Linked DNA regions of Anolis sagrei. The protein of the gene in region 1 interacts with the protein of each later gene in a pairwise test. Links are inferred from orthologs where the notes say so. Each region holds a gene or a part of one and is shown on either strand. Other genes may lie near its edges.

Evidence for each region.
Region 2: the proteins of TRIM63 (region 1) and UQCRC1 interact in a two-hybrid assay, tested with the Homo sapiens proteins (2 studies listed by BioGRID and IntAct). The link is inferred for Anolis sagrei from reciprocal best matches to the Homo sapiens genes TRIM63 and UQCRC1.
Region 3: the proteins of TRIM63 (region 1) and TCAP interact in a two-hybrid assay, tested with the Homo sapiens proteins (3 studies listed by BioGRID and IntAct). The link is inferred for Anolis sagrei from reciprocal best matches to the Homo sapiens genes TRIM63 and TCAP.

Annotation. Positions count from the first base shown.
Region 1 is NC_090034.1:74,269,629-74,273,382, reverse strand, and holds the start of TRIM63 (E3 ubiquitin-protein ligase TRIM63), read right to left. Parts: upstream 2,578-3,754; 5' UTR 2,438-2,577; coding exon 2,279-2,437; intron 1-2,278. UniProt on the Homo sapiens protein: E3 ubiquitin ligase. Mediates the ubiquitination and subsequent proteasomal degradation of CKM, GMEB1 and HIBADH.
Region 2 is NC_090022.1:56,695,887-56,699,640, reverse strand, and holds the start of UQCRC1 (cytochrome b-c1 complex subunit 1, mitochondrial), read left to right. Parts: upstream 1-779; 5' UTR 780-816; coding exon 817-891; intron 892-3,754. UniProt on the Homo sapiens protein: Component of the ubiquinol-cytochrome c oxidoreductase, a multisubunit transmembrane complex that is part of the mitochondrial electron transport chain which drives oxidative phosphorylation.
Region 3 is NC_090026.1:42,865,012-42,868,765, forward strand, and holds the start of TCAP (telethonin), read left to right. Parts: upstream 1-1,460; 5' UTR 1,461-1,530; coding exon 1,531-1,679; intron 1,680-3,754. UniProt on the Homo sapiens protein: Muscle assembly regulating factor. Mediates the antiparallel assembly of titin (TTN) molecules at the sarcomeric Z-disk.

The DNA.
Region 1 (3,754 bases):
GATGTAACCAGACCTTGTAGAAGACCTTGTAAAACTTCAATTCCCATGACTCCATACCACCGTGAGCCATGACCATTAAAATGGAGTCAGTCTGCATTCATTCAATGTAGTTGTACCTTAGAAGGCTATTTTTCCAGTTTTTACCACTGTAATGAGCAATGAGACTATTTCTTTTTAAAAGCTATGAAGGAGCAATGGCAACAAATTATTTTTTTCCCAACATAGCTTGGCAAGCTCTGCCGTCAGTCATGCTAGGTTTGGCTTTAGTATCAACACTACTCCCACGGCACCAACTGCCAGCCAAACTATGAGAACTTGGGAAAACTTTGATCTCTGTTCCAGAAGCCGAATCCAATATCTTCTTTGCCCCTGAGCTGTCCTCCTGACTCCCCTTATTTTGTTGTCTCGGAAGTCAAGCAACAGCAATCAACACTGTTGGAAACAACTGCGTCACAACTAGAAGAGGCCCCAAAGAGACCGTCCTCTTATCAGCTGGTTCTTCCTCTTGAGATAGGAAACAGATTCCTTTTGGGATTGTTTCCAGTACCTTCACCAAGAGGTACAATCCGGAGAGGATTTGTCTTTGTTTGATGTTTCAAAGGCTGGGACAGGGACTCCTTAGAAAATGTTTGGCACCATGATAACAAAAAAATACTTATAAATGTTTCCCAACCCCCCTCATTTGTTGTAATTCATATTCATCAGAATTAGTGGCACACATTGGCACCATTCTTAGGTTCTTGTTGCAGTTTGCCCATTTCTACCAACAAAGTTTTTACAAACAGTTGGTGTATTGTTCTATTGGATGCTTATAGAGGTTATGTGTCCTCCCTTAAAGAGGATTATCCTGTAGTTCAGTGTTTCTCAATCTTCCTATTGCTGCGGCCTCTGAATATAGTTCCTCATGTTGCGGTGACCCCCAACCACACAATTATTTTTGTTGCTACTTCATACTTGTAATTTTGCTACTGTTATGAATCGTAATGTAAATATGTGAAATGCAGGATGTGTTTTCATTCACTGGACCAAATACCTGATACACCCAAATTTGAATACTGGTGGGGTTGTGGGGATTGATTTTGTCATTTGGGAGTTGTAAAAAGGTAAAGGTAGTCCCCTGACATTAAGTCCAGTCATGTCTGACTCTGGGGTGTGGCGCTCATCTCCATTTCTAAGCCGAAGAGCCAGCGTTGTCCGTAGACACCTCCAAGGTCATGTGGCCGGCATGACTGCATGGAGCGCCGTTACCTTCCCGCCGGAGCGGTACCTATTGATCTACTCACATTTGCATGTTTTCGAAGTGCTAGGTTGGCAAAAGCTAGGGCTGACAGCGGAAGCTCACGCCACTCCCCGGAATTGAACCTGCGACCTTTCGATCAACAAGCTCAGCAGCTCAGTGCTTTAACCCACTGCGCCACCAGGGGCTCCACCAGGAGTTGTAGTTGACGGGATTTATAGTTAACCTACAATCAAAAAGCATTCTGAACTCCACCAATGATGGAATTGAACCAATCTTGGCACACAGAACTCCCATGACCAACATAAAATACTGGAAGGGTTTGGTGGGCATTGACCTTGAGTTTGGAAGTTATAGTTCACCTGCACCTCCATCTAAGAGAACACTGTGGACTCAAAAAATGACGTATCTGGACCAAACTTGGCACGGATACTCAATATGCCCAAATATGAACACTGGTGGAGTTTTGGGACACTAGAGCTTGACATTTGGGAGTTGTACTTCCTGGGATTTATAGTTCACCTCCAATAAAAGAGCATTCTGAACCCCACCAACGATAGAATTGGGCCAAACTTGCCATACAGAATGCCCATGACCAACAGAAAATACTGTGTTTTCTGATGGTCTTTGGCAACCCCTCTGACACTCGCACCCAACCCCACAGGAGTCCTGACACCCAGGTTGAGAAACACTGGCCTAGACATTTCATTACAGGTCCTTCTACGAAAATGCAAATTTGACTCTTTGTGAAAATACTACTCCATTTTCAGAAAAAAATAGTTTTTGAATTGCAACTCGCAAGCTCTCCTGACCGGTGTGCCTGTGATAGTTCATTATGTTGTCTAGGTCTTGAAGATTCTGGGAATTTCAGTTAAAAAAAACTTATCCAAGCTTTGCTTTCAAAGTTATCATCAGCTGCTTCCTTGTCTCACTTCATCTCCCTCACCCTGTACCTCTCCCTTGAACATTATTTCCAGCATTGGCAGTATTGAAACTGACATTTACCCACTTCGGGTCAATATTAGGAGGAGATCTACTGACCTGAAAGATGTCATTGGCACATTTCCTGCAGAGGTTGTGCTGGCAAGGAAGGATCACCACGGGTTTGGTGAACATCTCCAGGCAGATGGGGCAGATCAACTGCTTCTCCAGATTCTCCATGGGGTTAGAGTCCCGTATGATGCTTGACTGATAATCCATTGCCCTGTTTGAGGCTTCCGAATTATATCCTAGGTGGAGGAAGTCTCTGCAGAAAATGTCTTACTGTCTTCTTATTGGGCTTCTCGAGCACTTGTCGGCTGCCTCTTAAAGCTCAGCTTGTGGCTTTCTGCACTTTTGTCTGGCTCTTGTCTATTTATAATTTATCTCTGGGAGTCACATGTGCTTCGGCTGGCAGGATCCGTTGGGAAGGGGGTCGTGTTTCCTAAAGGGTGACATGCTGTCACATGGGGAGGGGGAGCAATCGCCCCTCCAGAGAGAGAGAGCCTGCGCTCTGTAAACAAGGTGGAGGGGACAACCTGTCCAAATGGCTGGAGGAAGTCGGTTTCCAGGGATGGACCTTATTTTTCTCCTTCGTTGTTTGTTTGGACAAAGAAACTGGAGCCACGGTTGTGTAAATGGTCACACTTCCTCGAGCGTTAAGTAAGCGACATGAACCTGCTCTGCACCCACCCCAGGATCCACAACCCAAGACCTCCTTGTTTCCATAAAACCAAGGGTTAAACTTATACTGCTCAAGAAATTGTTTGCTATTTCCAGCACCAGCTGCTGTCCTCTCCCAATGGGTGACTTTTAACAACTCTGACAGCAATGTGGCTCTGGACCTTGAGCTAGTTGCCTCTTATTCTCTGATCTGCACAGGCCTCCTTCCTCTAAGGCAGTGCTTCTCAACCTTCATAATGCTGCGGCCCCTTAATACAGTTCCTCATGTTGTGGTGACCCCCAACCATAACATTATTTTCGTTGCTACTTCATACTGTTCTGTTGCTATTGTTATGAATCATAATCATAATGTAAATATCTGATATGCTGGCTGTATTTACATTCAGTGGACCAAATTTTGGCATAAATACCTGATACGCCCAAATTTAAATACTGGTAGGGTTATGGGAGTAGATCAATAGGTACCGCTCCGGTGGGAAGGTAACGGCGCTCCATGCAATCATGCCGGCCACATGACCTTGGAGGTGTCTACGGACAACGCTGGCTCTTCGGCTTAGAAATGGAGATGAGCACCACACCCCAGAGTCAGACATGACTGGACTTAATGTCAGGGGACTACCTACCTACCTAGGGTTATGGGGGATTGATTTTGTCATTTGGGATTTATAGTTGACCTGAAGTCGATAGGAACTTTAGGAGGGTCTTTCCCAGGAGGAGGGACCCTGAGACCCCACCAAAGAGGGATCGCTACTTTGGCGAGCTAGGAGAAGCCAGATTTCAGCAACTTTTATTTCTTTAAAAATTCCAAATAAATCTCACCAAAGTTGAAGAAGCGGCACCGAGGTGTTTTATTAG
Region 2 (3,754 bases), on another chromosome or scaffold:
TAGCCCAAAAACCTACAACCACCCAATGATTCCAGCCATGACAGCCTTCGACAATACAATTTCATAGGATTTCCATGAATTTCATTGGGTTTTCTTGGACAAGGAATACGCAGTGATGATTTGTCTGGTTCCTTCTGAAATATAGCCTACAGCATCTTCAATTCATTGGTGGTCTCCCATCCAAGTAGTATCCAGGAATGACCCAGCTTAGCATATGAGCAAGCTTGTTTTCTGCTTCCTTGGAGACTAGGACGCGGAACAATGGCTTCAAACTACAAGAGAGGAGATTCCATCTGAACATTAGGAAGAACTTCCTGACTGTGAGAGCCGTTCAGCAGTGGAACTCTCTGCCCCGGAGTGTGGTGGAGGCTCCTTCTTTGGAAGCTTTTAAGCAGAGGCTGGATGGCCATTTGTCAGGGGTGATTTGAATGCAATATTCCTGCTTCTTGGCAGGGGGTTGGACTGGATGGCCCATGAGGTCTCTTCCAACTCTTTGATTCTATGACACCTCATCATATGAAATGCATTGAGCAAACCGCCACCAGAAAGCAACATACAGCGAATGTCAGTGGGTTGCTGTGAGTTTTCCGGGCTGTATAGTGAATGTCAGCTTTCAAATGTTACCGGAAGTTTAGTTACCGCACTAGTCGCTTTTATCTCTAAGCAGGGCTATGAGAACAAGGATCATAGTTGCCTTCCTCTTTTAAGCCTCTGTGGATGCCTGCGCCTGCTTCTTGCGCATGCGCTTCTCTGGCACGGCCCCCCGGTGCTCTCCTTTCTGCGCATGCGCTGTGCTTCTTCCTCCCGTCAAGTAAGATGGCGGCGTCCTCTGTCTGCCGGGTCGCGGGTTGCGTGGCCAAAAGGGGCCTTTTGCGCGGGCCTCGCGCGCCGGTGAGTGGGCTTCTGCGCGGGGAAGGAGCGGGAGGCGGCCGGTGGGCGGGAACGGGAAGGTGGAGACGTCTGTATCTGTAATATGAGGAGGTGGGATGGCTGCGCCACCCACGAAGGTCACGGCGAAGGAGGCTTGGCCCAGCCGCCGCCAGGCAGGGCAGCGAATCAAGGCGAATCCGGAATCAAGGCCGAGGCCCAGTGGCCTGGGCAGAAGAAGAAGCCACAGGTCTCCTTGCTGAGCAGGCTCGTTGCCTCCTTCCTGGGTTGGCCATGATAATGATTGTGCTGTTAGGAATGGTGGGAGTTGAAGTCCAAAACACCTGGAGGGCCCAAGTTTGCCCGTGTCTGAGATAGATACATAGGGTATATACTGCCTAAGCTATCTATCAATCTATCTATTGCATATACAGGAATTCCCCAAATTTCGAACAAGATAGGTTTTGTAGGTTTGTTCGTAAGTTGTTGTTTTTTTTTTTTGTCGTGTCAGGAGTGACTTGAGAAACTGCAAGTCGCTTCTGGCGTGAGAGAATTGGCTTTCTGTAAGGACATTGCCCAGGGGACAATGTCCTTACAGTTGATGGGGAGAGGCAGATGAGTTGATGTTTTTATCATCCTTATGGGAGGCATCTCTCATGTCCCCACATGAGGAGCTGAAGCTGATAGAGGGAGCTCATCTGCCTCTCCCCGGATTTGAACCTGCAACCCGTCGGTCTTCAGTCCTGCCGGCACAGGGGTTTAACCCACTGCGCCACCAGGGGCTCCAGAGTTCGTAAGTTGAATTCATACGTAATAACATAATAATAAATCTTTATTCATATCATCCCCAAAAAGGGATGCAGTATGAAATCAACAGCAGTTATACACATATATAACACATGAACCATCAATAAAATATAAACATTAAAAAACATTTTAAAAACATGTAAGTTGGAACAGGCAATTTTTTTAAAGTGTAACTTCATATATATATATATATACACACATATAAATAAAAGCAAGCTTTGGATATCATAAGGAAGGGTTATGTGGTGTTTGTTTTGCTGTCCGTGCCCCCTATTCATAAGATTTCACTTCACTTTCTCTTACTGTGAGGATCGTATTTTGAAAAATATGGCTTGTTGTAGAACAAGGATTGGTAATACAGCTTCAGTGGAGACATCTTTTCCCCATGGTTATGTTGATGTTGATAATCTTTATTTATAACTCGTCCTATCTATCCGAAGAGACTAAGGACTGTTTCTAAACAAAAAAGTGGCAAACATTCAATGCCATAATGAAAACAAACACCAAATCAAACCAATAAATAAACAACATCAATATAAACTTTTAATGACTAACCAATAAGTAAATAAATTAGAAACAAAATAGATTAGTTTAAAGGCTTAATAAAATATAATCAAACACATTTACTTTGTAATAAAATCTGACCACTAAAATGCATTAAAGTGTAAAATGGTTTATAGCCATCAATAGATTACTCCTCCGGGAGTGAATTTCCCTTCCAAGGGAAAGATTTCTCTCACTTCTTGTTGTCTCTCCCCCGTTCTTACCTAGACATATGTAAGTTGTCTGTCTGTAACTCGGGAACTGCCTGTACTGCTGTGGAAATACTTGGAGACAGTATAATAAAATAATATAATACAACTTTATTTATATCCCACACCTATCTCCCTGAGGGGTCTCAGAGTGGTTTCCAATAAAAGATTGGCAAACAAAAACAAATAAACAACCCAAACAAATCACAGAAATTCACATATAACATAAAATTATAACACATAATCAAAAATTAAATAATAAACATAACAGATCCATTACTTCACATCTAACATTAAAACACAACACAATTCTAACCAAATATCAGAATACATTTAAAATATTCAAATTTTATGCAGCCAACAATATGTTATTGAATTCCCTAAATATTCCAACCACATAGCTACTGGCTAAGAGTTGCAGTCTCCCACCTAAGAAATTTCCCCAAACATTGGATACACCTATTGTTGCTGTAAATTCTGCCTTTGGGCATTTCAAAACATTATTGGACCCTGTTCCTCAGATACTACTAGGCAAAATTATAGCCATGCATGACAATCATCCCGTATCTGGAATTTTGAACTCTCAAACAATTTAAATCATGTGAATGATGTTCAAGAACTCAGTGATGGAAACATTTGAAGACAGGTGGCCAGTGTCCACAGTTGTTTCTTTTTGATTTGTCAAACTCTGTAGCCCACAGGTAATATGTGGTCGTACAACGCCAATGCAATGAAACATCTGTCATTCATCTCTGTAGCAATCAATACTCCTCCTGTGGAGCACTTCTCAGTCCTCTGGGTTTAGTTTCAGGGATGACTGGGGTCTGCAATGTGGACAGTAGATTGCTTTTTCCCCATTTGCATTGAATAGGACTGGTTCATCAATGTGGGATACTTTCCTATAGATGGTTCCAGTATTATCTAACATTATGGATGTTCTTGTTTGTGCATCTCAGGCTGCTCTGGCAATTCATACTCTCTCTCTTACAGTTTCAGAGCATGTTTTTAATTCAGTTAGGTTTTAAGATTTTGATGTAGTTAGCTTTAGAGTTAACATCTTGACGATTTTTGTCATGTAGTTTTTGATTTCTTGTGCATGTGTGTTTTACCCAGCAGATTATTCTTGAAGGTCATTGTGGGTTTTTTCTGTCTTGAAAATTAAGTTGATGCATATATCTATGGCTAAGCTACATTGGTTTTAAGTTAATAAATTCCTATATATTTGTATTCTATTTTAATAGGACCAGACGTATGTTGTATGTTGTGTTTGCACTGTCTGTTTTTGATAAGGCCAACTGGCTAATCAATAAAAATTGTTGTTGTTGTCT
Region 3 (3,754 bases), on another chromosome or scaffold:
TCAAAGTACCCCTGACAGATGGCCATCCAGTCTCTGTTAAAAAGTTTCCAAAGAAGGAGCCTCCACCACACTCCAGGGCAGAGAGTTCCACTGCTGAACAGCTCTCACAGTCGGGAAGTTCTTCCTAATGTTCAGATGGAATCTCCTTTCCTGTAGTTCCTGGAGGCTTGTTCTTTGGAGACTTTAAAACAGAGGCTGGATGGCCATCTTTTGGGAATATTTTGAATGTAATTTTCCTGCTTCCTGCCAGGGGGTTGGATTTCAGGCATGTAGCCGGGGGGGGGGGGGGAGGCTCGGGGGGCTTCAGCCCCCCCCCCCCAAATTTTCATGGTGGTTCGCGAAAAGGCCTTATTGGTGCATTATTTAAACTGTTATGTTTATTCATATCATGATCTGATCACCATACTCAATATATCCCATATGCATGGGGGTATTGGGGTAATGATACAAAAGGTTTGCTAGGGTAGAACCTCTTTCACTCAGACTCAGCCCCCCCCCCCCCCGAAACTCAGCCCCCCTGAAACCCCCCCTGAAAAAAAATTCAGCCCCCCCCCCCCCCGAAACGAAATCCTGGCTACGGGCCTGGTTGGATTGGATGGCCCATGAGGTCTCTTCCAACTCTATGATTCTATCTCAATATAACCATGAATTCAACATTGATTAAGATTTCAATTCAGAAGCCATTCTTCCACATCCTAGTCTCCAGGGCAGCATAAAACAAGCTTGCTCCCTCCTCCCTATGATTTCCTCTCACATATTTATACATGGCTACCATGTCTCCTCTCAGCCTTCTCTTCTGCAGACTAAACATGCCAAGCTCTTTAAGCCACTCCTCATAGGTCTTGTTCTCCAGACTCTTGATCATTTTAGTCGCCCTCCTCTGGACACATTCCAGCTTGTCAATATCTCTCTTCAATTGTGGTATTGTGATCAATCCCAAATAATTGCAGAGATCCCAAAGTCTAAAGCAGTTGAAACATTGGATGAAATTTCATTATCCTTAATGAAAAGGAAATATATGTCATCTGCACATGATCACAAATGCACACATATCCTTATGATTCGCCTGTTGTCACAGACAAGAGATCCAAAAGCAAACCGACTATATCTCAACTTCAGGGAGTCCACTTTAAATGAAAAGTATTTGATGTAAAATCTTTCACCAAAACACTGTGGCAGAAGTCAGACCCTTTTGATCTTTCACACTCAGTCATTTAAACAGCCTGTTGACAGCAGTTCTCACCAGGAAGAGGAGGGTTAAATGAACATAACATATTATAGCATCACAAATGTGGTTTCCAATAACACATACAACCCGAGGAGGCAAAAAGAGGGAGGGGGATCAGAGTCGTATCCAGTGTCAGAATGCTCCACCAGTGACTCAGCATGCCTAGTTTAGCTCCAGACGCCAATCCCTCGGGAATGGGCACTCGGAAAACTATATAAGTCACCCGTGGCTGGGACAATAGCCCAGGCAGAACTGAGGCTTTACATTCACATCCCAGCCGAAGAAGAGACACAGACGCAACAATGCACGGCAAGAGTGTGGTCCTGAGAAGCTCTGGGACACTGTCCGCAGCTGAACTGGCTTGCCAGGTGTCTGAGAGGAACACGGCACGGAAAGAATCCTTCTCCGCTGAATGGAAAGACCTATCTCTCACCACTCGTCCTGAAGAAGGGTGAGTCTTTTGATGATCTCGGGTTAGGCAAGGTTTGGGTCAGGCTTGGTCAAAGTGGTCATAATAAAATGGTCACAAAATTACTGATAGGTTTGGGATTCTCGAAAGAAGACTATGAAACGAGGCAAAGTTTTGGTAGATCCATCTAATCGTTTAGACTTGGGTCTAAACTGGGTTCAATAAGAAGTGAGAAAAAGGTAGGCATTAGGGACCTGATATCTCAGAAATATTTCTCTTTGCCATGGCTCAAAGTAGACTTCTCCAAGCTGTTGTCCTCCAGATGTGTTAGACTACAACTCCCACCAACCCCAGCCAACTCAGCCATAATACATCTTGGGGGGGGGGGGGGGGGAGGTCACCAGGATGAAGAGGCTACTCCATAGCAACGTTATTTTGGGTTGGCATGAGTTTTGCTACAGTGCTGTAAATGGTCTGCATCAGTTATTATCATCAGGGTGTATATAGCCATTATTCCATCCGTAGTAGTAGTAGTAATAGTAATAGTAGTAGTAGTAGTAGTAGTAGAAGAAGAACTTTATTTTTCTACCCCGCCTCCATCTCCCTGAAGGGACTTGGGGAGGCTTACATGGGGCCAAGCCCAGGCAGAATACAATTAAAACAAAGCAATAACAATTAAAACAGCATAAAAACAACATAAAACAACATAACAAAAATAACTAGCAACGACAATAACAGGAGACTAATTTTGGAGGGGGGGAGGAAAACCACTACGTGAGCTAATTAAAGGATAAAGTGGTTTAGTAAGGTAGATGACAATGTATAATGGCATAGGAAAAATCATGGAAACAGAGTAAATTAACAGGATCAGTTAATATAATATAGAACATCAGATTAAATGACAATAGTATTGTATCAAGGAGCAACAACACGCCATTACATGTGGATCTTACAGCCTATATTTTGACAAAAGAGGAAATAAAGAAAGTGCTAAAGGGGGGGATGAAAAATAGTAAGGTTGAGAGACAATGGCCATTGAGTCAGACCACCAGCAATCCAGCACTGTTTAAATGGATGGAGTGAGTTGAAAAAAAAGTGCGCAATGCATACAAGTGATGAACAAGATTATGAATTTGCATTACTGATTCAGACCAGAGGCTGAGAAAATTACTTTTCATACTAGAACGCTTAGCTAGCCTTTCTGACCAAGAGTTTAGATCCAGCTGCACATGCTTTCTGCCTCAAGAAAGGGCCAAGCAAATTCTTCTGGGGAGCTCACAAACAAAGCACCTGGAGGATAGCTGTCTCCTCTCCTCTACTTCAGAGTTTCTCAAACTGTGCTCCTCCAGATGTTTTGGACTTCAGCTCCCACAATTCTTAACAGCTGGTAATCTGGCTAGGATTTCTGGGAGCTGAAGTCCAAAACACCTGAAGGAACACAGTTTGAGAAAGACTTTGTCCATAGTTGGTGGATTCTTTCTAGTTTAGTGCCATCTTTTCTACAATCGGGCAACCAGATCCTCATCAAAGCCCAACCAAAAGGGGCACAGAGTGACATACCCCCTCCTATTCATGTCCTCCAGCCAATGACATTAGAGGCATGGGGTGGCACATAGCGTCCTTGACTAGTAGGCATTGATTGCTTTATTCCCATTAATCTTATTTACATTTAAACTCAGTTAAATCAGTGCTGGGTAATCTGTGGTTTTCTAGATCCTATGGAACACCCAAGTCCCATCAACATTAACCAATCAGGATAACAATGAAGTATGATAGTAGAAGTTTACCAATATCTGGAAACCCACAAGTTTCCAACCTCTGATAATAGTTGGCCATCACCATATTTTGTGGTAGTGAACTCAGGCATGGCTAAACTTTGGTCCTCCAGATATTTTGGACGTCAACTCCCACAATTCCTAACAGCCTACTGGTTTATTGTCGAAGGCTTTCATGGCCGGAATCACTGGGTTGTTGTAGGTTTTTTCAGGCTATATGGCCATGTTCTAGAGGCATTCTCTCCCGACATTTCGCCTGCATCTATGGCAAGCATCTTACTACCTCTGAGGATGCTTGCCATAGATGCAGGCGAAACGTCAGGAGAGAATGCCTCTAGAACA